Linked DNA regions of Caenorhabditis elegans. The protein of the gene in region 3 interacts with the protein of the main gene of each other region in a biochemical or structural test. Each region holds a gene or a part of one and is shown on either strand. Other genes may lie near its edges.

Region 1 (8,602 bases), on a different chromosome or scaffold from region 3:
GAAATTTTGTGAGAAATTTTTATTTTTTACAAATTTCAAGCTTGAAACTGTGTTGAGCTTGTTGAGAGCTTCCAGAAAAGTATAATCATGTTATACTTTGCTTGCATTCGAAAAAAGTTGGTTCTCATCGCGAAAACTACAGTAACCCAGTTTTCGTTGCGAGACCCAAACTTTCTCAAATTTGAGAAAAGTAGGTCATACTTATACATAAATGAAAACTCTCAGCAAGATAACTTCAAAAATTCCCAAAATAATCTAAAAATCCGAAAATTTTGAAGAAAAACATTTTTTTTTCTGGTGAAATTTCAATATTTTATGAGTTATTCATATTTGCAATAATTTTGGCGTTCTGAAAGCTTCAATTAAAATAAAATCCATACTTCACTCAAATTTGAAGAAATTTGGGTCACGCCGCTAAAACTATAGTAACCCGAAAAAGGTTTTCGTGGCGAGACCCAACTTTTTAAAATTCAAGCAAAGATTATACTGAAATCAAAGTATTCAGCAAGCTAATTACGAATTTTCACAACTTTGCTATTGAAAATGAAAAAAATCACCTCTTTTCTAGCCTCATTCAACTGAGAGGAGACCTGCTGTAAGTGATGCTTCTGCTGCGACAAATGAACTTCCCGTTCAGCCGTAATCGATACCGACTCCCTGAGAGCCTCTTCCAGCTCCTCAATTCTTTTGTGCATATTATTCTGAGCACTCGTGCTTCTGGTCAAAGTTCCCGGTGCACTAGGCGCAGAGGTGGTGCCGGCTCTCGGCGTGTCGTCACGTTTGAGCTGCTTGCATTGGGCTGTCAAGGTTAGATTCTCCTTTTCCAGAGAGTGCACCATTTTGAGCAGCTTCTCAACTTCATTTCTTGCTCCTTCAACGTCTCGTCTCAGCTCATCGGTACCCTTGTCAACCATTGCGTCGTCCAAACTGCAAAATTTGAAAATGAAGTTTTGGGAAAACTATTTTGGAACTTCCAATTTGAAAGTAAAGTATTCTGGTAGATCTTCAAATTTTATAGCCACGTTGTTAACTTGGCTCAAAGATGACGTGCATGTTTTCTGTCAATTTTTAGATGGGAAACAAATACTTCGAAAAAATCAACGCGTTGCAGTCGCGTCGCGGTTCGACCTAAAACTTCAAAAGCACATAACTCGGCTCCCTGCTAACCAAATTTTCTGAAAATTTCACAGAAAACTCACCGCTTCTTTGCTTGCACAAGATCCCGATTCATATCTCCAATCTTCTCATTTTGCGACTCCAGAAGTATATCCCTATCCGACAACTCCTTCTGCAAGTTCTCAATGGTCGCCTTCAACTGTGTCATCTCATTCTGATAGGTCTTCTGTTGCTCCATCGCATCCTTCTCCGCATTTCTCCGCACTTGATCAATGTGCTCGGCGAGCCGCTGTCTCTCTCGTTCTCCTTGCTCAATTTTCTCGGTCATCTCCTTCTCCTTCACCACATCCGGGTGGCTTAGCAGGCGGATCTTAGCCCGATCGAGTTCTTGCTCCTTTTCCCGAACTGTTGTTTCAAGGCTGTCAACTCTGCCGATCAATTGAGAAGTTTTCATCTCGGTCTGCCTGATCAACTCGCCCTTATCCGACACATCAGCCTTGCTGGAACTTAGATCTCTCTCCAGTGCAGCCACACGCTCGTCTTTCTGCTCCAACTGCTTATTCTTACTATCCAGCTTCTGCCTTAACGCATCCACATCACCCTGTAGCAAAGTGTTATGTTGCTCTCGATTTGTCAGCTGATCCTTCAACAACTGAAGATGACCTCTCATCTCATTCGCAGTCTCCTCAGCGGTCTGCATTCTTGTCTGACACCCGAAGAGCTCCTGCTTCTTCTCCGCGAGCTCCACCTCACTTCGATCCATTTTCATGCGCATCGTCGCCATCTCATGACCGGACAGGTTCTTATCAGTAAAATCTCTTGGCTGATTACTCCTTCCCATCCGCTGCCTCATCAGTTCCTCCTCCAACTCCACGATCCTCGCCTGCTTTTCATCGATCCTCCGAAGCGCGTTTTCGATAGCTTGCCGGCCTGATGGATCCTGACTTGCCATCATAGATTGCGTCTCCTTGGTTGTTAGAAGATCCTGAAGCCTCATAATAGTATCCTCTAGCTCTCGAATCCGTCCGTCCATGCCACCGGAGCCGGATTCTAAAGCTGTGGTGAGTTGGCGAATGCGTTCGTCGCGTTCTCGGAGTTCCATTCGGAGTTGTAGCGCTGAAAGAATGAAGACTGTGTAAGAGATTCCTAGGCCAGGTGGCCCTAACCATAAGGAAACCTACAAAAACATGGGTACCCTAGAGCCTTACAGATTTAATCGGTAAGGGGTAAAGCACAGCCAAGGCTTACTTGACGGTAGCCTAAAAAGTCCATGACCCTGGTAGCAGAGGATTTTATGTTTTTAGGATCTTAAGGGCGTTGTTCTGCTTCTAAGGTGTTGGTTTCATTCGAACCAAGATCTTGACCTTTTCAGAAACATTGAACTCCTGGGACCCTTTTGTTTTAACTTGTCATCCGCTTGGGGTTAACAAGCGTTTAAATTAACTTAATTTAATTGCAGGCTTTGAAGCTTATTTTAAAAAAAACACCTAAATTACCTTCGCTAGAACCTAGGCCGTAGTCATTACCGCCACCTCCTCCCGACTGAACCATCCTCTCCAGCTGCGCTATCCGAGTGGCTTCATCACGCCGCATTTGCCTCTCCCTCTGGAACAATTTCACATAGCTAATCATACACTACGGTAGCTCTATTACCTTTAACTCGGGACTCCAAAACGTTTTGATACTATTCATAGTCTGATTTAGCTTCTCCATCATTGTGTCGTATTCGACTTTCAGCTGCTCGTACTCTCTCGCGATGTTCAGGCCACTTCCAGTGCCGGTGGGGATTCGGGATATGCCTGGTTGCATTAGGTCGTAGTCTTGGACTGATGTGGTGGCCATGCTGAAATATTGGAAAATTGAGGAAAAAAGTCTTCCGCGTGTAATATTACACAAGTTTCTACCGATGCTCTGGCCCTGGGTGTTGCCCTTCAAACGCTATAACTTTTTAGCTATTAAACATTTAAAAAAACATAAAAATTTGTTGTAAACTGGAAACATGCTCAAAATTAAAAACTGCACAGTTTCCATGTTGACTACATTTTTGTATCTATTCTTACCTAGGAGATAAGAGGGATTGAAGACCATCGTATCATCCCAGGTAGGCAAGGCAAGTGAAAAGGCAGAGGCTGTTTCGGATCTAACTTTATTGCCTTTAACGATACGAGTTTTTGTCAACTAACAAAATGCTCAAAATTAAAAACAGCATAATTTGTTAGTGGAAAATTTTTTTGTACCTCTAACCTCCTCGACGATATAACAGTTCAAAGTAAAATTACATAATATTATTTGAATCTCCAGAGCTCCCCCACCCCACTTAAAATTCATCTGTTTTGAGCCCCCAATTTTTTTTCGGAAGAGAACGTCAGCAGCAGTCAATGTGTGCAAAAAAATATATATATATACATGCATATTATACTCCCATGAGAGATGAGGAGCAGCAAAAACCCGCAAATTCTTTAAAAATTGGAGGAAATTCAACTGAAAGAACAAAAACTAAAAAATGTTGGTTTTCGGAGGGTCCACCAGCACCACCCCCCCCCCCCCCGCAAATTAAATTAGGTTAGGGTGGGGTCTTGGAGCCGTAGATTTGTGTCGTTTGTGGTGTGTTAACTGGAGGGGGAGGAAGAAACGGTATAGGAAGAAAGGTAAAAGCCCTAATGGATGATTTAGAAGACGGCAGGGTCCTGTCCGACAAGCACTATAGAAACTGGGATCTAGTTTAGGCGGCAACCAAGTCAGGAAATTGACAACGCCACTGGCTTCTGATGGGCAACCAATACAAATTAGACAACACTAAAGGCTCTTAGGATCCTGGCATCCCTAATGACAAGCACACTGACTACTTTTTGTCTACCAGGCAGCCTTACCGACAACCCGGCGACTTTAGAAGCTGTCGACCTCCCCGAATACCCGGCACCCCTAACTAACCTATTATTATGCTGCCAGAACGCATTCTGCGTGGGAATCGGATTCGATAACGCCAGCGATTGCCCACGCTGGAACTGTGTTGGGTGGTGATGTGGTGGATGGTGATGTTGACTTGTGGATATCTCCAATGGAAGGTATGATGGCTGATGTAGAGGTTTCGGTGGAGACGGCTGGAGCATCATATCGTAGTCTAGGGAGTCTTTGTAGGCGTCCAGGACACCAAGGCCGTCCATCGAGCGGTGTTGCCTGGAATTGGATGGTTCTTAGGTAGGCCTCGAGAGTAGTTGGTCTTCGAGGGGCAGGCTGTAGGCCCGTTGGGAGACAGAAAATTTGTGCTTGGTCTTAAATTTTCCTCAGTTTATCCCTAAAAAAGCTACTCACCGTTGCAGTGGGCGCCTCGACGCGGCGGATATGGATGTATGGGGTGGGACTGATGGATAATTCATCGGGTTTCGGCCACTGGAATTCATCACCGATGTTCGGCTGCTGTATGGTGCGGGACCTGAAACGAAAAATTGGAAAATTCTTTTTGGAGCGCACTTGTTGTAGAATTTTTCAAAAAGGTTGTGCCAAATTTAACGAAACGCTTCAACTCTTTTTGCATTAGAGCGCCCTTACATTTTGCGATTGGCGGGAAATTTGAAATGTTCTTTCCAAATTTTTATCAACACACTTTTTTTTTCAAGAGATTGCACATTTTTAGCAAAAACCTCCTCGGTTAAACATTGGAGCACACTGAAATTTGGAATTTTAACAAGCTTTGCAAAAATTGGCATAACTCTGCGAGTTTTGGAGATATGAGAAAGTTATCAACTAACAAACTGTGTGAAATTTTGTGATCTACAATTAGTTAGTCATAAATTTTTTAATAGAGTTTTCAGTTTTTGAGATATTCATGCTTTTCTGGCGAAAAAAAAATCAAAAAAAATTTTTTTTGAGCGAAATTTGTTTAATTTGCAAAAATTTGCAATCTTCTAAAAACTCACCAGGTGCCATATTGTACTGCTCCGGGTAGTTTGATGGTCCGGGTACGTGTTCGTTGTAGGACCACTCGGCGTCCAAGCCGTTACCGTACCACCCGCCGCCGCCTCGATCCAGTTTTTGACTGAAATTTTGAAGTTTTTGAGAATTGAGGAGAAGAGAAAAAAGTTAGGAGAAAAATTATATTAAAACAATATGAGGAAATATTGGTTAAATTTGGAAATTTTGAAAAAAAAACAACTTTCAATTTTTATTTTTCGAAATTTATTCTCAAAATATACTCAAATTTCCCGCTAAACTTTTCACTCCTAATTTCAGAATACAAATTTTCCACTATCAATAACCCAAAAACCAAAAAAAATCGTTCAAAAAGTCCGGCCGGAAGCAGCAAATGTCTTGTGTAAGTCAATGTATGCGCGGGGTGCGCGGAGAGGAGAGAAAGAGCCAAAAAGCAAGAGAGCCGAGAGATAAAGAGACGAAGAAGAGACCTAGATGGTTTGACAAACAGGGAGAAGGAATGAGAGAGTAAGAGGAGTTAGAGAAAGGAAGGGGAGGCGGATTGCGCGCGGATAAGCATGAAGAAAACAGAGGAGAGGGGAGGGGGACTGTAGTGGCGGAGTCTTGGTTAAATTTTTGAATAATAATTTCCCCAATTAACAGAATATGTTTATTCTTAATTTGTACGGAAAAATCCAGAAAAGTTTCGGTACCGCCTCAGAAAACTGAGTATAACTTCAAAACTAAAACGGCTAACAAAAACATTTTAACTAACAAACTGTTAAGCACAAAATTTCGCACATTTTGTCTGTTGGAACCTTTTTGGTAGCTATTACCATTCTAGAGATATAGGGGTTCAAAGTTGAGGAGTGCAAAGTGTGTGGAGGAGGGGGAGACGCAGGTTGTCTCGTCGACTGCGTCTCACCCTCCACCACGCTCTCACCGCACTATGCTCTAAAATGCGTGTATCTCTGGAACGGTTAAAGATAGTAAAGTGAGAAATTTGGTTTTCTATTCGAAAAACATTTTTTTCGATTTTTTTAAATTATTATTCAGCAATCTTACATATGTTTTCTTAAATTTTCCATACTAGAAAACTTTAAAAAAAAGGCAAAACTCTTGACTCTGACGCCAAGACACAAAAATTGTAGGGAATTGAGAGAAAAGTGTCGGGGAAAAGGGATAGAAAAGACGAAAACAGTACGCTCAGTGCGTTTTTTTTGTGTTTCTTTCAATGTTCAATGATGACAAATGGAACGGAAAATTGCAAACGTTACGATTTATTGGAGGACAGGGGTTTTTTTGAAAAAAGAAAAAAAAGTATATTGGGATTTTTCAACATTCTGATCTTTTTTCTCTGTTACTCTATTTTCTAAGCTCTAACCGTTCCAGATACATATATACAGCAGAGAGACGCAGACAACGAGACTGTCTTCTCTGCCTCCTCACCCACTCTCCACACTGTAAACGCCTATTAATAAAACAAAAGCAAAAAAAAGAGAAAAAATAAAACGACTTGCGCAAAGGTCTCTCCCCCCTTCAATTTCGGTGGTCCATAGTACTACGTTTTTGGCAAAAAGATAGAGAAAAAGGGGTGGTGAGAGTCCGAAAAGAGCTTTTCTCTGCGTCTCCATTGTCTTTCTCAAACTCTCTTTTAGGGAGTGCGTCGAGTAGTTGAGCTTTTGGCATTGAACCAGAAGAGATTGGAGAGACGCAGGAAAAGTAGGAAAATCTGGGGATTGAAGAGATTTAATATTTATTGCAGAAACATTTAAGGTGAAAAGTGTATTTTTACGTTGTTTTGCTGATTAGAACTTTTTGAAAAAAAAAGTTCCATCAACAATAATCCTTTAAAAAATTTTCTAACCCAAAAATTATTCTTCTCAAAATTTTACACATTTATCTATCAGTTGACAACTTTTTAATAGCTATCACCGTTCTCGAGATACGGGGCTTGAGATGGGGACCTAGAGAGCGTGGAGGAAGGGGAGACGCAGAGTGTCTCGTCGTCTGCGTCTCCCACGCTCTCTCCCATCTACAATAGAACGCCGTGAGATATAGAAATGCGGTAAAAAACAAAAATGTTTAGAATTTGATGTTCTATTCAAAAATACCAAACATTTTTGATTTGGAAAAAAGAAACGACAATTTTTTTTTGAATTTTTGAATTTTTCAAAAATTTCTCTGCTTCAACGAAACTGCTAGCATTGAAATTTTCCGCTCGGGAGGACCCTCCACAATTAGAAGTATACGTCTGAAGAAATACGAAGAAATTGATGATGTTGAAGAGGGTGTGGTCCTTCCTTTCTCTTCTCAGTGATGAGAAAATGAAAACGATACCACGGGGCGGGAAAATTGGAGGGTGCTGGGTGAGTGTGAGGCGAAACTGGAGAGAATTAGAGAAAAAATAAGGGGAGAGGATAAAAATGGAATATTGTTGCATAAAAGTGTAAGAAGGAAAAGGGAGGGGGAGGTAGTGTGTCAAGACCAATTTGAATACTAATTTAGTGTCCTTTTAGGTTTTTGGAGCCTCTGGTGGGTAGGGCATGTGCTGGGTTGGATGGTTGCCGAGTTCGGTTGCCGTAAATTGTAGAAAATTGTAGAAAATTGTAGAAGATTGCAGAAAGTTGCAGAAAATTGTAGGAAGTTGTCGAAAATTTGTAAAAAAAATTTGAAAATTGACGAGAAGGAAGTTGGCAACACTGAAGTGAGCCTCAAAATTGTCAAAAAACATTTTAAAATTTCAGAAAGTTTACCGAAATCTGGCAAAACTGAAAATGACGAGAATTGGAGAAAAAATGCCAAAATTTTCCAAAAGTTACCGCAAGTTGTCGAAAACTAAACCAATGACTGACAAAAGTTGCCTAGAATGTCGAAAATAGGACTTCCATGGTAGGCAGGCGCGGTTTCAGGACCCGACGCCTGCCTGAAACGTGCCCGCCTCCTCTTTTTTTCATTTTGCCGTGAATTCACAAATTTTTATCAATTTTTCATTTTATTTTATTTTATCAAGTAGGGGGCATCCGTTCAAATGGGGCATCCGTTCAGAGGGGGCATCCGTTCAGAGGGGGCATCTGTACAAACATACACAGGTTCCAATGGGATACCTGTTCAAAGGGGACATCGGTGAGAATTGATTGAATATTTATAGACAGGAGTATGCACATGTTTTCATATCAGTCACACATACATTTGGTCGAGATAAAGTTGTGTAAAGTTCGGCACCTTCATGATTGTATTTTCTTCTTCTTTTTCTGTTCATATCTCAACCAACAAATTTTTTAATGAAAAACAATCAACTACAAAGTTGTACTTCAGATTGAGATATACAACTTTGTAGTTTATTATTATTATTTATTACCTTGTCTTAAAAAATTTTCCCACGGAGATATCAACATCCGAAGTGAGTGCGTATTTTGAATTTTGAGGTTCTACTATACCTCAGGTTTCTGTCTGAAATCGTGTTCAGAACATCTAAACTAGATCAACTACAAACTTTGCATTTTTCTATAACATCTGATCAAATTTTAAAAAGTTTTCAAAAAAAAATTTAGAAAATTTTTGTAAGGGGTACCTT
Region 2 (11,312 bases), on a different chromosome or scaffold from region 3:
TCGTAGGCATTAATGTTATTTTCAATGTGGAAATCATAGCATTTAACGTATTTTACAAGCAATTAATTCAAATTAGATTCAACATTTTTTTCATTTTTACATTTTTTTTTTGAGAAATTTGACCAAAAAATTTATTTTTCGTCCGAACTTGTTTAAATCAGGGCTGTCATATTGAGCGTCCAGTCGTCCGGTTTTTAGAATTTCATTAGGTATACGACCGGACGCTCGATATTCCAGCCCTAGTTTAAATGTGTTGAGTTAATAAATTCGAGGATTTGAGTATTGCAATGTTTCATATAAAGATTCAGGGAGATTGGCTCGGTCACGTGGCCTGGGTGGACACTAGCGACAGAGCGGCGTTGCCGCGGACCGTGACCTGCAACTGCCACCCACACTACGGACAACTCGGGCCGAAACTGCACACCCCAACATTATGCATATATTTTGATTTTCTTTATTATTCCAAACCAAGATCCGGGACTCTTGTGTGTTTATAGTCCGCGGGCTTATTTAGGCAAAGGAACTCCTGCCGAAAGTGAGAATTTTGACACAATCTTGCCGAAAGTAGACAGACTCCTGCCAACTCTAAGTAGTAACTAAGTCGCCAACGCTCAGCAGTATTTCCCTGAGTATAGTCCGCGGGCCTACTATAGAAAAATATACAATCCCAGAAAAACTATAGTATTTAAAAAAAAGCTAAGCATTTTAGTAAAACATCGAAATATGAAAAACGTGTGGGAAAAGTTAGTGAAATAGTATGTATTTTCCTTTTTTTTTGTTGGAAAATTTCAGAAAATAGCAGTCAGGCTCACTTACCATCGAATTTTTCGCATTTTTCCTTACAAATTGTCCTTGAGTACATGATAAGATATCTCTTACAATCCCTAATAACCAATTTCCCTTCTGGGTGTCTTTTCCGGATTGCTCGGCTCAAAATTGATCCGAAAACGCAAAAGAGCAGGAAAATTATGGAACATTTGCCTATGTTCATTCTGGAAAAAAAACAACAATTTTTCTATGAATTGAATTGTGAAAAATACAATATTATTTTTTTCAAAAAAAAAAAAGTTTAAGAACAAAAAAATTTGAAAACTAATTTCAGGCCGTTCCAGGCCGAATTTCAGGCCGTTTAAAAAATTAAAAAAGCAAAACATTGAAACAATTTCGAACAGTCACAAATTGATAAAACATGCCAATACTCTGCACAAATTCATATCAGTTAGAAGAACTATAACACATAGTTTTTATGGCTAAATGAAATAAATAGATCGAAGGTTAATAATTCTATTACAGAAAAAATACGATCGCACAAAAATAAACAACGACGCAACGACACTCCGCTGTTTTTAAGCCCCGCCCACGATTTCATTTGCACTGCGACCGCCACATTTCAGTGCAAATGAAATCGTGGGCGGGGCTTAAAAACAGCGGAGTGTCGTTGCGTCGTTGTTTATTTTTGTGCGATCGTATTTTTTCTATAATATTCTGAGTGTAAGGAATTCATGACCGACCTTTGCTGCATGGCCTAGAAAATTCGGGAAAACTCGGCCATTGATTTTTGTCTCGTGAGAGGCGTTCAAAACTGATAATTCTAGTCAATCTGTTGAGGAAAATTCAAACTTCAATTTTTCAATGTGTTTTAAATTTATTAGCGAGAAATTTAAATTTTACAAAATCTTGGCGCTAATTTTAAATAGAATTTTTCAAAAATTTCAGCGCGGAATTCAAATTTTGAGGGAAATTAAACATTTTGGCGGAATAATTAAAATGTTAAATTCCATGATTTTTGCGAAAAATTTGAATTTTCGAAAAAAAAAATTGGTGCGAAATTTAAATTATGTGTATTTTTTTCAAAAATTTAGGCGCGAATTCAAATTTTAGTAATTTTTCCAAAAATTTTAAATATTTCAGCGGGAAATTCGAATTTTCAAAACAAAAAATTTGGCGCGAACTTCAAATTATTTTTAATATTTTAGCGGGAAATTCAAATTTTAGTTATTTTTCCAAAAATTCAGGCGCGAAATTAGAATTTATTGTGCGATTCTGAAATATGCTGAAACCAAAAACGAAAAAACAAAACTTCAAAATACATTAAGCAAAAAAAAATCAATGGGAAAATGTCATCATAGGTAATACAAAAAAATAATTTTTTGGGAGTTTTCCAGAAAAACGGGCGGCTTTGAACAATGAGAATTTGGAGCAAGAAATTGGTGGAAAAAATCGGCGGTAAAAATCGGAAAAATCAATAATTTATCGTTAAAATCAATAAAAATCAACGTCGACTATGCCGATCCCTGTCCCCCCGATCCCTCCGACGTTCCGAACTTCTCGACCGTTTTCGACGGCGATCCCGTTCCGAAGATCGGCTTCTCGATCGGTGATTATGTCGTGATGAAGATTGCTCTTTTTCACGACTTTTCGATCGTTTTTTGCTCTTTTTACTCGATTTTCTCTCCTTCTCATCGTCTCTCATCTCTCGTTCTCTCTTCTTTTCCGACGACGATTTTTCCGATTTTTTATTATCGCCGTTTTTTGAATCTGAAAATTTGAATATTATTTCCGGAATTTTGTGTGTAGATTGTGTAGTTCTATGTAGTCTAGAGAATGACTACAAACTACAAAATCACATCAGCCTCAATCAAGGTTCAAACTACAAACTACAGACTTTTTGAAAGGAAATTTCTAAATATTTAGCCGAAGACTACAAACTACAAAATCAGCTTAGCCTAACCCAAAATAGTAAAATCCCAATATTTTGACTACAAACTACACGTTTGCGAGTGAAAATTTCAAAAATTCACACTTTTCATTTGTATTCTTTAAAAAATGAGTAAAATATGAAGAAATCTAGGTTGAGGCTGGGAAATATGTGTAGTTTGTAGCCTCAACCAATTCAAAAATTGGTTGAGGCTCACAGACTACAAACTACAAAATTAGAAAAAAAAAATTTTTTGGATTTTTATTTGGATTTTCAGAGATTTTATTGAAAAAAGAAAAGAATTTTTGAAATTTTTTAGATAAAAAGTGAGATTTTCCCGAAAAATCTCTGCTAAAGTGAAGAAAACTTGTAGTTTGTAGTCTCCGGCCTCAACTATTTCAAAAATTGGTTGAGGCTCACAGACTACAAACTACAAAATGAGCAAAGCCTCACCAAATGTTCAGGAATGTTCAGATTTTTTTTTGGATTTAAAAAATAGATTTTTCGAGTTCTAGAAGCGGTTTTAACTGAATTTTCAAAATTTTTCAGATTTTCCGAAAATTTCTGAATTTTTAATCCAAAAAAAGTGGAATTCCAGTGGGTTTTTTGGAATAAAATATTATTTTTTTTGGCTGAAAATTGGCGCTCCGAGACTACAAACTACAAAACCATTCTGTCCCAAAAATCCAAAATCCCAAATGTCCCAAAATCCCAAAAAATTTCAGTTCAAATTTGGCGGAAAAAAGTGAAAATTGTGAAGAAAACTTGTAGTTTGTAGTCTCCAGCGCGCCTCAATTATTTCAAAAATTGGTTGAGGCTGAGACTACAAACTACAAAATAACATAGCCTCACACAAATATTGAAAAAACATTTTTTTTTTGCAGATTTTCCTGAAATTTTTGAATTTTTAATTCAAAAAAGTGGATTTCCAGTAGGTTTTTGAAGTTTTTTGGCTGAAAATTCGCGCTTTAATAGACTACAAACTACAGAAAAACACATTTTTGACGCTAAAATCGGGGAAAAAATTAGCAAAAATGGTATTTTTTTCAACAAAAAGTGAATATATTTTTATATTTTTCATTAGTTTACCTTACCTGGAACGTGTAAATCATCAACACCTTCACCATCATCATTAACTGATGGTTTGACATCATCTGTCTTAACACTAAACTTTCGAGGGATACCCACGGGAGCCTTGAACTCTCCACCACCAGCTTCTGGTGTTCCTGCTTCTGCTGCCCCTGATGCTCCATTTAGCTCCGCCGAGCCACTGCTCTCCTGCCGTGGCTCCATGTCGTCGCCAACTCCATCGTCACTGCTGTTGTCACTATCCTCACCGTCTCCTGGAAAATTTGAAAAATTTGAATTTTTTGAAATAAAATTTCAAAAAATATGACATTTTAGCTCTAAAAAACGTTTTTTTTTTTAACTGAAAACTCAACTTTTTTTTTGCAAAAAAAGGCTTTTTTTATTTGAATTTTAGTTTTACAATTTTCGAGAAATTGAAAATTCACATTTTATGGAATTTTTAATCGAAAAAATTGAAATTTTTAAACTAAAAATTCTTTTTTGGTACATTGTTCGAAAATCGTTTTTTATAACGAATATTTAATTAAAAAAGCTTCTGAAAACCGATTTTTTCCAAAAAAAAAAAATGTTTTTTTGAAAACTTTTTCTGAAAAATTTGAATTTTTAGGAAAAAGAAGAGCTTTTCAGGAACTTTTTGAACACAATTTTTATATAAAATTAAAATTTTCTGGAAATCTAAATTTTCGCTATTTTTTTTTGAAAAATTCGATTTAAAAATCAAAAATTTTACTTTTTTTTTCGGAAAATCTCAAATTTTTCAACCAGAAAATTCGATTTGTTTCAAAATTGTAACTGTTTTAAATTTAAAAAAAATATGGAAAATTCGAAAATTTTAGAAAAAAGTTTTTAAAAAATGTGAAACTTTTGAAGACAATGTTGAAAATTTTCGTTTTTCGAATTTTTTAAATCAATTTTTAAAAAACTTTTTGAAATTTTAGCTCAAAAAACTCGATAAAATCGAATTTTTTTTGTTTAAAAAAATTTCGTCGAAAAATTGGAACAATTTATGAATTTTTTATGAAAAATTATACGATTTTCATAGCTTTTTGGAAGAAAATTTCAAAAATGTTAAAGTTTTCGGTTTTTTTTAAATTAAAAACTTGGAAAAAACTTTTAAAACCGAATTTTCTGGTCAAAAAAATTGTTTTTTCCGAATTTCGAATTTTCGCGAGCTTCTCCATACCAAAAGCCGCGAGAGCCGCCAACGCTGAGCTGTTGCCGATGATTTTCGGCGCAGTTGCCAATTTTTTCCGTTCAAATTGAAGTTTTTCGTGCTCACGGAGCTCTTCTTGTATTATACGCATGATGACGTCATTCGAAGACTCGAGGAGCACGTTCATCATTAGAGTTTTCACACAGCGTATCTGGAAAAAAAATTTCGAAAATTTTTTTTTTGAAATTTTTAAGAGGTTTTTCTCCACTTAATGGACCTTTTTTAATTTTTAATTCAATTTTTTTTTTTCAAAAGTTCTGTAGTTTGTAGTCTAACAGCCTCCAAAAACGCGAGCCTCAACCAATAGATTTTTTGAAATTTTATCAAAAATTCGGTTTTTATTGCATTTTTAAAGGTTTTGACTGAAAAATTCTGAAAATCTTGGGAAGATTTTAAGGTTTGTTTTCGAAATTTTTGTAGTTTGTAGTCTAGCGGGCATCAAAATTATAAAATTTTTGAAACAAAAAAATTTTTTTTACCCGAATTTCAAAACTTTTTAGAAAATTTTTTAAAAAATCTTGAAAAAATTGAATTTTTGAAAATTTAAATTTCTGTGAGGCTGTCTTAAAAATTGTAGTTTGTAGTCTGAGCCTCGACCAATTTTTGAATTGGTTGAGACTACAAACTACAAATTGTCATATAGCCTCAACAATGTTTTTTTTGTAAATTTTATCAAAAACTGGGTTTTTTATTGGAATTTTTATGGTTTACGCTGAAAAATTGAGAAAACCTAGGGAAAATTGTTTTTTTTTTTTAAATTCATGTAGTTTGTAGTCTAGCTGGCATCAAAAACGCCAATGTCTACTAAAATGTCTAAAATTTTAAACTTTTTTGAATTAAAAATGAAAAAAAAAACGATTTTTTTGCCGAAATTCAAAAGTTGTATTGAAAAATTTATTTTTTTTTCAAAATTTAATTTTGGTGAGGCTACCCGAAAATTGTAGTTTGTAGTGTGTGAGTCTCAACCAAAATATTGGTTGAGGCTGAGAGGCTACAAACTACAAATTGTCATAGCCTCAACCAATAGATTTTTTGAAATTTTATCAAAAACTCGGTGTTTTATAGGAATTATTTTTAGGATTTAGGAGTTACACTGGAAAATTCAGAAAATCTTGGGAAAATACAATTTAAAAAAAAAAATTTCTGTAGTTTGTAGTCTAGCCGGCTAAAATTTTCAAATTTTCAACATTTTTTTGAAATAAAAGTAAAAAAAGAAACGATTTTTCCTCGAAATACAAAAATTTCATTGTAAAATTGATTTTTTTGTTCAAAATATAATTTTGGTGAGGCTACCCGAAAATTGTAGTTTGTAGTGTCTGAGCATGAGCCTGAACCAACAAAAATTGATCAAATTTCGTCGGTTTTTTCTCGATTTTTTTAGCAATTTTCTCTAAAAATTCAGAAAATCTTCGACAAATTTTTGGTTTTTTCTCAAAATTTTTTGTAGTTTGTAGTGTGTGAGCCTCAACCAAAAATATTGGTTGAGGCTGAGAGACTATAAACTACAAAGCTGGATTTTTTTTTTCAAAAAATTGGTTTTTTTTCTCAAATTTTGAAAAATTTCCTCTAAAAATTTAGAATATCTTCGTTTTTTCTCAAATTTTTTGTAGTTTTTAGGTTTTTTTTTGCGGAAATTTCAGGAATTTAGAATTTCCCGTACAAATTGCTCTCGTCTCTCCTCCAAATCGTCTTCCGAATCATTATCATCTTCCTGATATTCAGATTTTCCATTACCAACAGGAAATTTCTCATTTTCCGGGCTCTCTTCATCCGACGAAGAGTCAAATTTGCTCTTTCCAGCTTCGGCTCTTCGCCGGGCTTTTTCTTCTTCCGCTTTCTTCAGCTTTTCCTCTTTTTCCCACTGCTTTTGCTTCTCCCGTTCGGCCTTTTCAAGGCCTTCCAGGATCCAGGCCGGCAGTTTTTTCCGGGCCTCTTTGTTCATTGCATACGGGTTTGTGGGCCCTGAAGCCATTAGTGGAGCCGGTGGAGGCACACCTTTCGGGCCAGCTTGGGCCGGGGGTTCCGGGGAATTTTGGTAGTTTTCGGGCTGGAAATCGGGCTGGAAATCGGGCTGCTGAAAATCGTGCTGGACCGAGGGGCTCTCCTGGAAAAAGTGCAGCTGCGGTGGTGGACGTTGAGGTGCTCCGAAGAAGCTTGGAGCACTTGAAGCCGCCGCAAAAAGTGGCTTAGGCTTTTGGGCCGACGGGAATAGGCTTTTCGGTGGTGGTGCCGCTGGAGCCTGAGGTCTTGGAGGCCCTGGGTAGTGCTCTGGAGGTCTATGTGGGCCTGGGGGGCCTGGAAAGTGCGGCCTTGGTGGCCCTGGCGGAAAATGTTGTGGTGGGCCTTGGAAATGATGTCCAGGCGGTCCAAAGTGTCCGTGGTGAGCTGGTGGAGGAGCTCCACGCCACGTGTCTGCTCCCTGTGGCGGTGGTGGTGGATATCCACGAGGCGGGCCTTGATTATGATATACGGGGGGCCCGGACGGCCCAGAAGGCCCAGGCGGCCCTCTCCACTGCTCGTCCCGATTCGCGGACCAATCGCCCCAATCCTGATGAGCCGGAGGGCCCGGATGACGTGGCTGATGCCACGGGAGCTGATGATTTTGAGCGAAATCGTGTGAATTTCCGGCTCGACGATCGTCTGTGTCGCGCATCGCCATCCATTGTTGGGCCAGCTGGGCCCAGTCGACTGGAAAATAGACGAAAATTAATTTTTAAATAAATTTAAAAAAATTTCGCGAAAATCTCGAAAAAAATCGATTTTTTCGTGTTTTTTTGCCAAATTTTTCGATTTTAAATTCAATTTTTCAATAAAATCACAACGCCATACCACTTTCCGCCGGCTGTGCCTGATGATAGTTGGTCCAATCTTCCATTTCCCTCGTTTTGTGATTTTCTGCAGGAAATATCGATCTTATTGGTTTTTTTTGGGAGGAAAAAGGTGGAAACTAGCATTTTTTAACAAAAATTCGAAATTTTCAGCTAGATTTTCTATTTAAAAGCTTTAAAAATGCGCTGAAAATATTCTAAAATAGAATTAAATCGAAAAAATGTCGATGGCCGTTCCTTTACACGAAACCTAGTCCACGGCCACGCGGCCACCGAATTTTATTGACGGCGGCTTTCTGTGTGATTTTCAGATACTTGAACGTGTTTTTTTGTTTGTAATGTGAAGAAAATGAATCGATATATTTAATTTTTGGAGAAAAGTGATTTTAAATTCCAGAATTCCTGCCGAAATCCGACGTTTTCCAATTTCGTGTAGAAACCCATTCGAGGGAACACAGCATGCGCCTTTAATGGCTACGGTAGGTTAATTTAATTTAATTTAATTTAATTTTTAGCAGCAATTTTCAACGATAATAGTTGTTTTTTGAATAATTTAAATTTAAATTTGCTTTTTTTTCAGATGACAGAAAGAAAACAGGATTTTTCCTGTCCAAACTACATGCTTTTCGGCGATGACTTCAATTTACAAAGTGGAATAGAGGTTTTTCCCCGAAAATTTCTGCAAAATCACTTTTTTTTTCCAATTTTTCAGGATATTTCCTGTTCCTCAAACTACACATCAGACGAAGATGGACCAAAAGTGCTCACTACAATGAGAAATATGTTTGCGGAGCAGAAAACCGACGAATATGAGCTGGTCTACGACAATAATTCGCAAAATGTGCCTCAAAATTGTTCACCGAAAAATCAATATTCGCCCCCGCAATCTGTGCAACAAGCTCATTATTCGAATTTATCACATTTTCATCCTAGAAATCCAGAATTTTCACAAGAAATCGTGGAAAATCGAGTAATTTCTCCAAAATCTGAGCATCCGGAAGAAATAGAGGATCACGAAGATGATGAGGATGGCCAAAGTGAAATGGTACTGATAAAAAACCCCGATTCTAACAATTTTTGCCCTGAAAACATGAAAAATCATCAAATTTCAGCCAATAGGACGAAAATTCGTTTGGTTGAGGCTCACAGACTACAAACTACAAACCGCAATCATTTTAAATAGGATTTTATTCAATTTTCGCTTAAAAATTAATTTATACTATTAAAAAACCTAATTTTCAGTTGAAAATCGTATTAAAAAATTCGTTGAGGCTAAAAAAATTGTAGTTTGTAGTCTGTTAGCCTCACCCAAAACATTTTCGACCAAAAAAAAAACGGTTTTCCCCAATTTTTTGTATAAAAATGAGTAAAAACGGCTATTTCATGATATTTATTAACTTTTTACGATAATAACCTTCAATTTTTACGAAAAAAATTGGTTGAGGCTAGAAAAATTGTAGTTTGTAGTCTGTTAGCCTCACCCAAAACATTTTCGACCAAAAAACTGATTTTTCTGCAATTTTTTTATATGAAAATGACTAAAAACTGCAATGTATTAAGCTTATAACTCACTTTTTCAATCCTAAAACACCAAAAACTAACGCAAAACTGGTTGAGGCTAAGAAAATTGTAGTTTGTAGTCCCTGAGCCTCACCCAAAACTATTTTCGGCCGAAAAAACCGATTTTCTCCCGATTTTTCTTATAAAAATGACTAAAAACTACAATTTCATGGATTTCGCCCAACAATTTCGAATTTTCAGAAGCACAATTGCCCGGAATGCCCGAAAAAGTACACATCGGAACGACGTCTCAAGCATCATATCGTTGTACACCGCAATCCGGACGCCTATAAATGTCAAAAATGTGGATATTGCTATCAGAGCCCAGATAGTCTCCGGAGACACTGGAAGGTAGCAAAAAAATCGAATTTTCACTGAAAATTTGACAAAAAATTAATTTTTTTTTGTTGCAGAAAACTCCGAATTGTGACGAGTTTCCGCCGAAGATTAATGTGAAAACAGAGATTTTGGACCCGGATTCATGAATTTTTAAAATTTTTTTTGATTGTTATATTGTAAATTACATTTTTTTACTGTGTACTATTTCTGACACTAACTCGATTTCCCAGTGGCCTTATTCATACGCTCATTTCATTGATTTTCTCGGTGCATATTTAAATTTTTATTCAGTTTTTGATTGACAAAATTCATTTTAATTGCAATTTATATTGATTTTTCAACGATTTTCTCAGTTTTTTCCTCAAAAATTGCCCATTTTTATGCGAATACCTTCATTTTTTTTTCACCCAAAATGTGTAGTTTGTAGTGTGTGAGCCGCAACCAAAATATTGGTTGAGGCTGAGAGGCTATAAACTACAAACTGACACCGCCTCAACCAAGTTTTTTTGTTGAATTTTGAAGCTAAAATCTTTTTTCAGAGTTTTTTGTGAAAATTTTAACAAAAAAAAAAACAAAAATTCATTTGAAAATTAAAAAATGTGAAAAATTTCACGAAAAACCAAAAAAAATCCCGTTTTTAATCAGAAATCATGAATATTTTCAGATTTTTCGGATAAAAATAACAAAGTCTGTAATTTTCAACCAAAAAATGTTAATATCAGTTTTTTAGCGGAAATTATAAAAAAGATCACTTTAAAAAAATGGAAATTACGTATTTTTCCATTAAAAAGTCCGAAAACTAGCGATTTTCCAGTCGAAAAATCAAAAATTGCCTATTTTCTGCTGTGAAATACATGAAATTCGCATTAAAATTAAAAAAAAAAAACCTCCAAAAACTGATTTTTCCCTCAAAAGTCCCAAAAAATTTGGTTGAGGCTATGACATTTTGTAGTTTGTAGCCGAGGCACGCACACTACAAACTACAAAATTTTAATAATTTTTTTTCAGCATTTCCATCACAGCTTGAGTCTGCCCGTAAAAATCGTGTAAGAAACAAAATGTAAGTTTGTTGAGGCTCACAGACTACAAACTACAAAATTTTTTGTTTTTTTTTTTCAGGAATCCACGTGGAAATCCGTCGAAAATGCCGACTCAAATTGTGTTAAACAGACGTCCAGCAGCACCAGCAAGACCTCAAACAGTAGGATTTTGAAACGAAGAGACTACAAACTACAAACTACACAATTTTCAGACATTCACCTCACTGTCCCAATATCACATGTACAATACGGCGAGCACATCATCGGCTCCACCGCCACCACCAAATCGTACGTGCCCGGAAAAAAATAATTTTCTAAAAAAAAATTTTTTTTTAGAAAATTTCGGTCAAATTCGAGAAGCTATCCGAACAACTCAGCCGACAACTGTTCAACTTCCGCCGGACTGCAAAGTACTGTAGTTTACAGCTGTTTTTAGGACATTTGGACGACGTTTAAGGCCTTGAAACGGCTCATTTGACCGAGATTTTCCAAAAAAATTTGAATTTTTCGACCGAAAACTCGCTTTGAAGCTCGAAAATATTTTG
Region 3 (11,637 bases):
TTTAGAACATTTTTTAATATCAGGAAATGAGAAGAATATATTTAAGCATAAAGTATGAATCTTTACACCGTGTCCAAGTAGATCTGTTTTACTTCAATTAACTGATTTCAAGCTCATCAATTGTTTCGGCAAAATCAGTTCTTCTAAACATTCAATAAAGAAAAATACAAAGAAATTCTCAATTGTAAATTTCTTTACAGAAAGTGCAAATCGGTTGCACAGTTGAAACGCAGGGGAACAGTTCGGAAGTTCTTGCAAAGCATTGTATATGCGACAGTCATTTGTGCAATTTTCACCACTTGGTTCGCGGAACAGATGACCCACGCCCGAAAGCTGCGATTCCGGGGGTAAAGCAGGTCAGTTAAATTCTCTTTGATTTTTTACTCACCAATGCATTTCTTTCAACGTTTTGAATAGTCAAAAACAGTTAATTATGTATGACTTAACAAATTGTGTCTTTAGTCAAACCCCTATCATAAAATATAAAAATGTTCGTATGTAAAAAAATGCTACCCTTGTTTGGTTGGGTTCAAAATGCCGTTACTCAAAAAACGGAATTAGTAGGAACAAGAAATGTTGTCCTTATAGCCTTCTTGTGTTATATTTTATCTTTTGAGTATTACTTCATTTTAGCCATGCCATAAATCATCGTCCTAACTTTACATCCAACAAATTTTCAAACCAGTAGCTCAAAAAGCAAACATGTTTACAGACGACGAATCAGTTGAATCCAGTCCGATTGTATACTTCAAATAAGGAAATTGATGAGAATGACATTCTATCTGTGATGAATGGAGTGAGAGAAGCCCAGAGCATGACAATTGGAGCATTTATTTGGTTATGCATCAGAATATTTTAGTGAACACTGACTATCTCATGATTTCCCAACTCCCGATTCAAATTTTATACGGTTGATTTTCTTTCTACATTTTGTTTCTTCTCATTTAAAAAAAAATTTCAAACTAAAACTATTTCGGACCGGTTCAAAAAGCTACATTTGTAAAAAAATGAAACGTTTTTATTAGAAAACAATGTAAACGGAATGTTGTTTGCCAAGAATCGAAAACAATGATGAGATTGGATAAAAACTATAATTAATAATCAAGGAAATAAGTTAAAAGTATTTGGTTTTGTAGAAAAATTGAATATTAGCGCACTTTCTTTCTATCTTTTTGATTTTTACCAGAAGAAAAACGTGCTAAAAAGATATTTAGGGAAAAACTTGAGAATGGAAAAAATATGGATATGATAATGAGAATAATTAAAACTTAAAATACCGAAAAACTGAAATCGTCAATAAAAAATTACAGAAGCAGGCGGTATAAGGTCGTTTAGACTAGCACGAATGACAGGAAAGACACGAACGAGTGAGAGGGAGCGGAAAAAATTTTAATTTAACTAACTAACTAGGTATATAAATGAAACTCGTAGGATTTTGCTATGGAATCATTCTTACGAGAACTTCCACTTCTCTGAAAATTGAAATTTTGCACATTACTAAACGATGAGATCAAACAATACTGAAGTTAGAGCAAACACACCAAATCATACCAGTATTGTGGAAAAGACGTTAATTAACAGTGTGAATTATGACTGAAAATGCTGATTTTTTGAAGGTTAAAGTTGTTTTAGATATCTGAATTAAAAATGTTTTGAGCAACCGGGAAGAGTTAAAGGAGCACTGCAAAATGTCAAGGAAAATCTAGTTGAGCAAGAGAGCAGCACAAAAAATTGAACAATGTAAGAATTGATTATTGTTTAAAAAGAAAACGTGTTAATCGACGGACTATGGCATTACCGGATGGGGATCGGATTGTTGACGGTGATCGTTGACTAAGCCAATGAATTTCTTTTCCAGTAGCTAAAAATGTATAAGATTATATGAATAATTGTTTTTGCGGAATAAAATGATATTTGAGTATTATTTTCAATTTTTCCCAAAGGTTTCTTGAATTATGATGACTTCTACTCACTTGTCTGTTAGGAACGTCTTGAGATCCAATCTGGAGTGCATATGCAAAAGCGGATGCGTCAAACGTTTCATCCAGTGCAATTAATGCACCATGTATTCCACTATCCACTAAATTTCTTGAAAATACACCTAGCCCGATTTCTTCCACCCATCGCTGAACTCGTTCATTCGACCACACTAGCAAGTCTGCAAGGTATTACCCATAAAGGCATTGTTGTAAAGATAATATAATTATTACCTGTGTTGATATTATCACACGCCTTTCGCCGATCCGCCAACACTTTCTTATCATAGTTGACTTTCTTGAGACACATAATTCCGTATTGGAGACTTGTACGATGGAATGTGTCTACCATGCGCAGATGCGTGCGTAGGTCACGTTTTGAAAGATGTTCTAACATTCGAGCGTCAAGAAGACATTCCATAAACGCTGATCGGTATTGCGCAAGACCGAGACAAGGAAGCCAGTCGTTTCCAATATATTCATGATTCATATCTCCGAAGGCAAGAGTCAGACGAGCAGTTCGTGGGGCAGATGGTGACGTTAAAGAAACCATTTCCTGAAAAAAAGCATATACATATAATCTTGTATTGTATATAATTGTTTGCTCAATTTGAAAGTTTAACTGTCATTATTCAAAATTTCAGAAAAACATTAAGGATATTATTTTTTATGTAATGAAAAAATCAAAGGAATCTGTGAACACATTGACTGATCATTACAATTAATTTATATTGCAAATTTTTAACAAAAAATACCTGGCTACAGAGTTGCTGTATTTTTGCTGAATCTTGCCATGAGAACTTTCAAGTTGAAAGAACCTGGTTCGAACCAAGATAAATTTATTTTGGTGTTTTTTTTTCATTTTTTGCAACATACAAACAAAATGCCGTCTTACTGCCGGTTAGTAAATTTTTAAAGCCTCAGTACCTGAATTGCAAGTCGCAATTTCAACCTGTGCAATGGGTTTGAGATTCCAATCTCCTTCTGGATTTCTTGATCACTCAAAGCTGACATTATTGCACCGGATTTCACATTTGCTCTACACGCAGCTACATACCACGCTGGCATGCCAACCCACAGCTCCAGCCAGGCAACAACAGTTGGACCATTCCAAAGAGCAAACGGTGTTCGTGCTTTCATGGCTTCCTCTAATAGTTCATGCTTCTTCTTTTTCCTCCTGTCGTAATCAGCTTTTTGGTTTCCTTCTGTGCCCGACTGCTCGCCATCCGAATAATCTCCATTTCGTCTAAAAAATGATTGTATGTTTTCATAACTCAATAAAATAATCACTTGAATAAATCACTCGATGAATTTTTCTTTTTGTTGAAAAACCTTCCAAGCGTTTTCAATCCACTTGAGCTATTCGATCTTTTCTTCTTTCCGCCAAGAACGCCATCTGTCGAGGAAGCGACTGACGAAGCTGGACTCATTCGATCTCTTTCGTATTGCATCTGCAAAAGAAACGAACCGGTCATTAATCATCTTCTTCCTTCTTGAGATGACTCTTACCTCGTCAAATTGGTTGTACCCTCGTCGTGGCTCGTAGTCCAAATCTCTAACCATGCGGTCGTCAACAAACTGCGGATTGCCGTAAATATCATACCGTCGGTCACCGGATACATTTGCAGGAAGCTATAATTTAGAAAAATTCTTGAAGAACATTTAATACATATAAAAAATGTATTAAAAAAACAAACAAATGAAGACTTACAGTGTTATACTTATGTTGTCGCATATTATCTAATTGGGGACTTGCTCTTGGTGAACTTCTCGTAGATATTCCCTGATCATCATAGAATTCCCGACTTGATCGTTCTAACTGTTCAGCCACCCGTTCTGCGTGATGTTTCTCTTGTTGAATCAATCTTAAAATATACTTGTTAAAAACAATTAATAAAAAATTAATAAAGTTAAGAAAATACATTATAGAATCAGATTTTAAAACGATAATTAGCCCACCTTATTTCAGTATTTATTGCATCTAAGCGATCTTGTAGCATTGATGCCAACATCTGAGCATCTTGACCACCACCCATTCCACCTTGCATTCCTCCCTGCATTCCACTTGGCATTCCCATTCCACTGTTCATCATATCATCTTGCTGGTGTTGGACAGCAGTGTTAGGACGTGGAAGAGTCGATTGACCGACGTCGGCCAGTGATGGTGATGAGGAAAATGCTTGCTGGACGTTGGCAAGAACATGCGCTTGTTGAAGTCGATCCCATTCTTGCTCGTTGAGGGTTTGAACTTTGTTCGGATCGTCCTGAAATTTTTTTCAATGGTTGGTTTCTTTTTGTTGTAGCCAATAGCAATTTTAACATGGTGAAACAAAATGTCACAAAACCAAATCTCACCTGGAGTGCTGAAATCCTTCCTTTATTTGGTCTTCTCATTCCTACAGTTTGATACTGTTGAGCTGGTTGTTGTTTGTACATTTGGTATGCAGATTGCTGAGCAATCGAAGCTTGTGGTTGTTGCTGCACAATGTTTTGAGCATGTGTAAACGGAATTGCATGCATTCTGAAAAAATTACGGTTTCACCATGCATTATATTATGTTGTACCTTGACTGGAATTGCGCAGTTCTTGCATTGTACAATTGTTGCCTAAGAGCTTCAATCTCTTGCCGTAGAGATTCATTATCCCGCTGAAGACGATCTTTGATTCGTTCCGCTTGATCATAAATTTTCTTTGTTCCATCAAGCTGTTGTGTTAACCGATTTTTGTCATCGAGGGCTTGCATTCGTTCTTTGAGATGCAGTTGAAGGCGATCATTAGATTCCGATAAAAGCTGGAAAAATGTTTTGCTAACACTTTTGTGTATGATTTTAAAATGCTCACCTTGTCCACAGTGCTACTTAACCGTTGGCTGTGCTCTTCGTTCATGCGTTCTCTTTGCACAGCCCTTTCCAACTCTGCAGACAACTCTTGAATGTTTCGGTCCAACCTTTGGATGCGCTCTTCAGCAGAAACACTCTTCTGAAAAGGAAAACATTTTAAACAAACATAACAACAAAAACACACCTGTTCAGCTGCTGTAAGTGCTTCCATTCTTTGTTGTAATTCGGCTTCTACAGACGGAAGGGATTCAGCTTTTTTGAGACTTTGTGCAAGTTGCTTCTCTGCCAACTCCAATCTTTCTTGAAGTGAATGAACTTTTTCCTCATTCAACCTGACAGCCGCATCTTTATTGGCAAGCTGAAAAGAAAATGAGGTTTCTAATGCAATTGCGATGTCTTTTACTGACCTGATGCTCCAATTTGTCATTGAGGTCCCGGATACACGTTGACTCTCTTTGCGCGGTCAGGAAACGCGACTCAAACGTTGTTATCCGAGTTTCTTGATCGGTGCGTTGTGCATCAAGCTAAACATAGGAAAAATAAGTAAATACGCTTGAATTGAATGATTTTGAGGTAAAAGCAACAATATCGATACAAATTGATTATTTCACAAGTACCTCGCAAATTTGATTCTTCAAACGAACGATTGATTCCTGTGCAGCATGTTTTTCACGAGCATCTTCTGTCAATTGATCCTCGAGTTCGGCATTTCTAAAATTTAAAAATTTGGGGGAGTATTCATAGGCTTTTCAGCATGATTTTTTCCTATTTTTTTTACTGAATTGAGATAAGAAAACAATTTTTTAAATGTAATTTAATATATTTTTATAGTTAATTTTTACGCATTCTTCAAACATTTTTTTGAAAAAAAACCGAAAAATTTGACCACAAAAATTTATAGGTGTTTATATATTCACCATCAATTTTTGAAAAGTTATTACGATAGTACCTTGTTGTGATCTCAGTTGATTGTTTTAGTGAGTTGGCTAATTCTGTTTTCATTCTTTCTAAAGCCTCTTGCATTTCGATAAGTCTGTTTGCACTTTCACTGCTAATTGAACCATTGATGGGTGCATTTGACGCCTGAAAATTTTTGTTGATAAACACATTTTTGTGGGTATGTGATGTATTCTCGTTTTTCTGTTTTCTTTCTTATTTTTTTCAATGAATAATTACCATTGCTTCTTCCGCTTCTGCTGCGTAAGTGGCAATACGCGCTTTCAGCGACGAATTCTCATCTCCTTTTGTGCTCAGCTCTTCTTCAAGTGTCGCCACACGCTCCATTGCTACTCGAAGACGTTCACGAACCTGAATATTAAAACATTAGAAAATCTACAGAGTAAATACAAAAAATTACTTTTTCATCCAATGCCTTGTGATGCTCGAATAAACTCTTAAGAGCTTTTAGAACTTCAACTTCAGAAGATACGCCAGCGTGGTTTTGAGCTTGTCTCTGAAAAAGGAAGTTTTAATATTACAGCACATCAAATAGAATGGGGAACAATAATAAATCAAAAGACATACCTTCATGACCGTCATTCGGAGTGATCTTTCATGACGGGAAACTAAACATTCTAGGTGCTCTAGAAGAAGTCGAGTATTGTTCCGTTCTGCTTTGAGCTCGACAATCTCTTCATCTTTTTCTAATAACTGCTCTTTTAATAGGCATAATTCCCGCGTCATTGTTTGAAGTTCCTGCGGTAAATTTTGCGTATGAACTTCGAACTGTCTCTTCATCATATCTCGTTCTTTTTCAACTTCTTTCGTTCGGAGCCCTGCATTTTCCAGTTGCACCTTATAATTTTCCAACTGTTCTTGTAATTTGTCCCGGTCTTCCAACATGTTCATCATCAGCTGAAAAAGTTAAAGAACATTCAGTTTTAAGGTTTTACAATATACAGACCTGCTCAATGTTGTCTCGGTCCGATGGTTCATCAATGGGACCGCCGTTGTCCACTCCATCTTCCGAGATTGTCGGCATTATATCACAATTTATGTTTCCATTGCTGTAGCTCATATTTCTGAAACAGATTAAAATTGATAACTAAATTTCAGATTTTCAATCAAAAACAAAACATTAATAAATGTTTAGTTATATTTTGAAATCGTCTAGATATGCAGAAAAATATTTAGAAAAGCGCGAGAAAAAACGCAAGAAACAGAAGAAATTGGATACATCGCCTAGAAATAGAAATATCTGAACGTTGACTATACAATTTTCAAATTTAAAATAAAATACACTTACCAGAAAAAAATGTAAAGAAGTGAATCAGCTTGCCCTTGTTGAGTAATTTGTCATACCTTGCAGAAAGTGAATAACCTACAATAATTTTTATAGCAATAATTTTGTGAAGCTGAAAGACAAAATAATTAAAACGGTTGACACTAAACTAAGAAAGAACTACGAAAGAACTAAAAAGTAAGTTAGTTCCGTTGAAAGTGTTTTTATTTCTCTTTCCTCTCTCTTTCTCTCTACTTTTTTCGTTTCTTCCTCTTGTGTGTGTGTTATAAGTAATATGACTGCAACAACCAACTCGCCAAGCAAAAGAGTTGAGAAGATGGAAAAAGAGAGGGAAAGAAAAAGAGACAATAGACACAGGCCGATAAAGAGAAAGAGCTCCGAATTACACACAACGGTCAGTAGTGCTCGCCCTTCGTATTCTTCCCCCTTCTTTCTCCTTTTCGTCCTCTTCGTTGTGGCCGGACGTGGGCCCGAATCGATGCTAGGGCATTAGAGAATGGGTGCAAACGAAAGATGAGACAGGCCAGAGCCAGAGAACACAGGGTCACACATCTATCGGCCGTTTGGCTACGCGCGCGGGAGAAAACCCCCTTCCGTCCCCTCCCTGACTGCCTCCCGCTATTTCTTCGTCAATTGGTTCCTACATGAGAGTGCAAGATAGAATTGACAATTCGGAGAAGTACAGAAACAGAGAAAGGAGTAAAGGATAAAAGATAATAGAGAAATAGAGATGACAAGAGAATATTAGAGAGACAGATATGGCAAAATTCTGAACGTCCTGAAATAGTACGGTTGAACGTGAGAAAATGTTTCGAAACTGTATGAAACTTTCCAAATTGTATGGCTATAGAAAAAATTCCAGAACTTAGATAACTTATATTATATCCTATTGCAATGAATATGATAACAAAGATTTAACTCAATTTTCTTACAATAACTTTTTAGACACCGATGAACCTGAATTAAACTTGAACGAAGCTGGGCAAGTCTCTCGTTTAATATTAGGGCATCCGGAGAATTTCTAAACATTTTAAATATAAGTCAAGTTACTCTCACTAAACTCATAGTGATATATTAACCATTTGTAAATTGAATACGTTTTCTACTTCCAAGTATATGCAGCAATTATTTAGAACGAGTGCTCAAAATATATTCAATTGGGTTTTACAGGGAAGTTTATTTCAAATTTCAAAGATCGACTGACAATGAAGACTGACAAACAAGAACACTTCTTCGATTCCAACTTTTAGACTTTTAATGTTTTTTCCTAAAACTCCGTTTTTTTTTTTGGTTTTCTGTGATAGTAGCATAAAAAAGGGGAACAAAACACTGAAGCAGAAAAAAGTTTAACAACACGATTGTTGTATAAACTCGTCATTTCTGAGTCATTTTCTGAACGTAAAATAGTATAATAGTAAAGTAGTAAAACGTTATACAGATTGATAGAAATCGAAAAAAAAAGACGAGGGATCTAACAAGGCAAGAGTAAGAACAAGCGTTCAATTTGTGGAAGTGGCAATGAAAATAACAAGTGCCTTCACGTCCCCTATCCCTACGATTTTCCTATTTTGTTCCGTTTGGCGTCCCCCTCAAAACCCCAACATTCCTGAGATTTGCATAAAGTTTTCAAAGTCACCGAACATCAATGCTTTCATGGACGAACGAGTGCGAGCAAGGTCGGAACTAGTGAGAAAACCCGGAGAAAAAGAGTATGAATATTCGGAGAGAAAGTAAAAGAGGGGGACCACCTGCCTTCAACAGATGGATGAATATCCTGAGGTAGTAGTAGTTGACTGGCGACAGCCACTATGGCACGCAGCTGCATAAATTTAGAGCTTCCGATCGCAAATAATTTCACATATCTTGTTAGCAAAGTAGTTTGCTGTGAAACATGTTGCACCTTGAAAAGTAATAATCAATTGCCAATAGAATTATGTGTTAGACAAATTTTTTAAAAATTTATTTAGTAGATTCCTCGCTAATATTTTGTGAGAAATTACATAAATATGTCTTCGAGTTTGCTGTTACGATGTTTATGCAGGTGCAAAGTTCGAAGTGAAGCAGTACGATGTTTTGGGAAGTATTTTTGTGCAATGCCACTCGTTTGAATTGTTTTTAAGAAACCATTTCAATGATGCTATGCAAATCTAGCAATTAATTTTGATTTCTTAAAATAAAAATTTAAATAGGGAAGTTGCTTCTTTTTTAAACCAGTTTTTTTTAAACAATTAAGACATTTGTCGAAATTCAATGCCACTCAAAAGTTTGCAAGCATATTGGGTGAAATTCTATCATTAAAAATAAGATTCAATTTGCTGATTAAAAAAACCAGAAACTTTATTAAAATTTGGTGACGAGTTTGCTAAGTATTTTCTCTCTGCTAGCAAAGCCGAAGAAGATGTGCGCATGCATTCGTCTGTTGAATCGGTTAGCCCATACACACATACACATCGTCGTAATTACTGAAGATGACGTTGCAAAAGAAAGAAACAGAAAGAGAACCGAGCGATACGCCACTTGTTCATAGTTCTTGCAATGAGAGTGTTTATAGCTGGGTCTGTGCGTGTGAGTGTTCATAGATAACAGGAACATGTAGGTAACCGAGGTTTTCGTTTTTTTTTCGATAAATAAAGGTTTAACTATTCCGAACAACAGTTGTCTAACTATGGCTTGCGTGGAATGAAACTTATCATGTTTAGTGTCATTTGTGAGGAACTTGGCGAAATTGAAATCAGGAGTTCAGATAGTATGTACAATATCTGAAAAGTATTGAATTTTAACTGGATCGTGAAAAATACTCTATAATTCAAAGTCAGTCAAGCAAAATAGCGTCTTGTATTGAGTTTATTCAATCACATCCAAATGTTTTATATCTGTTAACAACTATATAATGTTGAACGTAAAAAAATGACTACAAAATTGTGTGTGTGTTTTTTCACAGTCTACATTTCATATTAAAGGGGGAGTAGAGCCAGTCAAACTCACTTATGGTGACACAATGACTAAAAATTTAGTTTAAAAATTATTTAAAAATTCTAAGTTTGTTATGATTTGTTGAGTAATTGGGAAAATTTCGGCTTAGCCACTTTTTTAAATGTCTTCCATCAAAAAATCTCTTTGAATTATGATCTCTATTTATGCTGCAAACACTGATATTCAAACATTGTAGGGTTGCCCATTTTTGTAGGTCAATAAAAGTTTTTTAAAAAATTGTAAAAAAATTTTTTGAATGATATTTGGTAATTTGCATCACATAAGTTGTTTTAAGCAATTTTTCCCACTGACACTACTTCATCTTCAAAATTCATACACAGTTACGAAAATGCCAATCAGCATGCCCAGAGGCGATAATTGACTGTGAGGGGATATCTTGATACAGTTCAGGTTCTTTCACATGCCCACATGATATAAACATATATAGGTTTGCACTATTGAATTTGAAGATTTATCATATCCAACATATCTTATTGCAGTCTTTAATAGTCTAGAATTCATATTCATTTTGCACTGTTGGATTTCAATCAAAATTTAGTCATTTAGTCCGTATTAGTCTTGTGCCTTCTAATATGTATTCTTGCACTAGTTAAATACCGGACCAGCTACACGTTGTTGAAAATGAGGTAAAATCGTATTTTTGGTGTGAAGTAAATTTGAACGTGGGTTGCGTTTAGTCTATAGAAACGTATATATTTCCTGAATTCTAAACAACAGAAATCAATAATATTTACAAAGCCAAGAGTCATTTGAAGTAAGTCTTTCCGCTGCCATTAGTCTTATTATGTTATATATATATATAACGAAAACATGACATTAGGTGTAATCACCGGCAAGAAAGACTGACTAAAGACTGATACGAGAAATACGGTATTAATAATTTTGCTTTGGTTGTAAAAACAAATCGGGCCCCGTACTTTTTGTTCGTTACAGTTTCCCGTTGTTTTTTTCAAGTTGTTACAGTGGCTTTGAAAAAGTTTAGAGATAAACTGAAATAAACAATCCACAGTTTATAAATGTTTCATTTTATTTGTGATGCCTTGAAGCCGTAGTCATCATCATGAATAAATATCCGGTTTTACTCCAATTGAGTGACCACAAAAAATGACAGCCGCATGATGGCTAGCTCGACACAGTCGATCGACGCTTAAAGTTCTCTCAAAAAGTGGTGACGATGGTAGTGTCCGGCGTGTTCCGCGCCGTTTACTGCATTATTCAGAAGTGCGGCAACGACGCCGACGGTAAGCGGACAGTAGAACACAGAAGCGGTGGTGGAAAATATGAGTTTTGTGGAGACACATAGACACCTTGCGCACACCGTGTCCAGATCATCTGCCGCATCCGCCCATCTTTGCGCGCGTCCCGCTCGTTTTAGTGCATTTCAATCCGAAAATTCTGGTCTTTGCTACTGGTTGCAACTTTGCTGTATTCATCAAATAGTTATTGAACTTTTTTAGTTGTCTTCAACTGCGATGAATCTATTTTATTTTTCCAAAGCAAATGACTTTTTATTTATGATTTTATTTCTACTGAGTAAGTGTTTTTTTTATTTAAATACTTTCAAAGAACAATATAAAAATATGTA

The links.
Region 1: of the proteins of syd-2 (region 3) and elks-1, one has a biochemical effect on the other in vitro, tested with the Caenorhabditis elegans proteins (one study listed by BioGRID).
Region 2: of the proteins of syd-2 (region 3) and rsy-1, one has a biochemical effect on the other in vitro, tested with the Caenorhabditis elegans proteins (one study listed by BioGRID).

The regions. Positions count from the first base shown.
Region 1 is NC_003282.8:3,344,876-3,353,477, forward strand, and holds the start of elks-1 (ELKS/RAB6-interacting/CAST family member 2), read right to left. Parts: upstream 5,153-8,602; 5' UTR 5,044-5,152; coding exon 5,034-5,043; intron 4,550-5,033; coding exon 4,429-4,549; intron 4,294-4,428; coding exon 4,048-4,293; intron 2,960-4,047; coding exon 2,770-2,959; intron 2,722-2,769; coding exon 2,613-2,721; intron 2,233-2,612; coding exon 1,200-2,232; intron 928-1,199; coding exon 558-927; intron 1-557.
Region 2 is NC_003279.8:11,214,101-11,225,412, forward strand, and holds rsy-1 (Arginine/serine-rich protein PNISR), read right to left. Parts: upstream 7,896-11,312; 5' UTR 7,876-7,895; coding exon 7,830-7,875; intron 7,689-7,829; coding exon 6,661-7,688; intron 5,152-6,660; coding exon 4,971-5,151; intron 4,042-4,970; coding exon 3,793-4,041; intron 2,539-3,792; coding exon 2,273-2,538; 3' UTR 2,077-2,272; downstream 1-2,076. Other genes in the region: ins-36 (INSulin related), read right to left, coding at 817-991; Y53H1A.7 (Ubiquitin-like domain-containing protein), read left to right, coding at 309-497; Y53H1A.2 (C2H2-type domain-containing protein), read left to right, coding at 8,299-8,307, 8,409-8,489, 8,541-8,873, 9,590-9,739, 9,802-9,873; Nuclear transcription factor Y subunit nfya-2, read left to right, coding at 10,786-10,787, 10,847-10,928, 10,980-11,055, 11,104-11,177.
Region 3 is NC_003284.9:10,548,104-10,559,740, forward strand, and holds syd-2 (Liprin-alpha), read right to left. Parts: upstream 7,137-11,637; 5' UTR 7,062-7,136; intron 6,838-7,061; 5' UTR 6,834-6,837; coding exon 6,720-6,833; intron 6,671-6,719; coding exon 6,341-6,670; intron 6,270-6,340; coding exon 6,174-6,269; intron 6,125-6,173; coding exon 5,993-6,124; intron 5,900-5,992; coding exon 5,766-5,899; intron 5,528-5,765; coding exon 5,434-5,527; intron 5,341-5,433; coding exon 5,224-5,340; intron 5,175-5,223; coding exon 5,001-5,174; intron 4,956-5,000; coding exon 4,818-4,955; intron 4,768-4,817; coding exon 4,541-4,767; intron 4,498-4,540; coding exon 4,332-4,497; intron 4,241-4,331; coding exon 3,936-4,240; intron 3,842-3,935; coding exon 3,688-3,841; intron 3,609-3,687; coding exon 3,486-3,608; intron 3,428-3,485; coding exon 3,267-3,427; intron 3,223-3,266; coding exon 2,904-3,222; intron 2,533-2,903; coding exon 2,211-2,532; intron 2,159-2,210; coding exon 1,974-2,158; intron 1,862-1,973; and 5 more. Other genes in the region: F59F5.5 (uncharacterized protein), read left to right, coding at 201-356, 713-859; F59F5.7 (DM13 domain-containing protein), read left to right, coding at 11,525-11,585. UniProt on the Caenorhabditis elegans protein: May play a role in regulating the structure of the neuronal region, called the active zone, from which synaptic vesicles send neurotransmitter signals across the synapse. This may be in association with the liprin-beta protein hlb-1.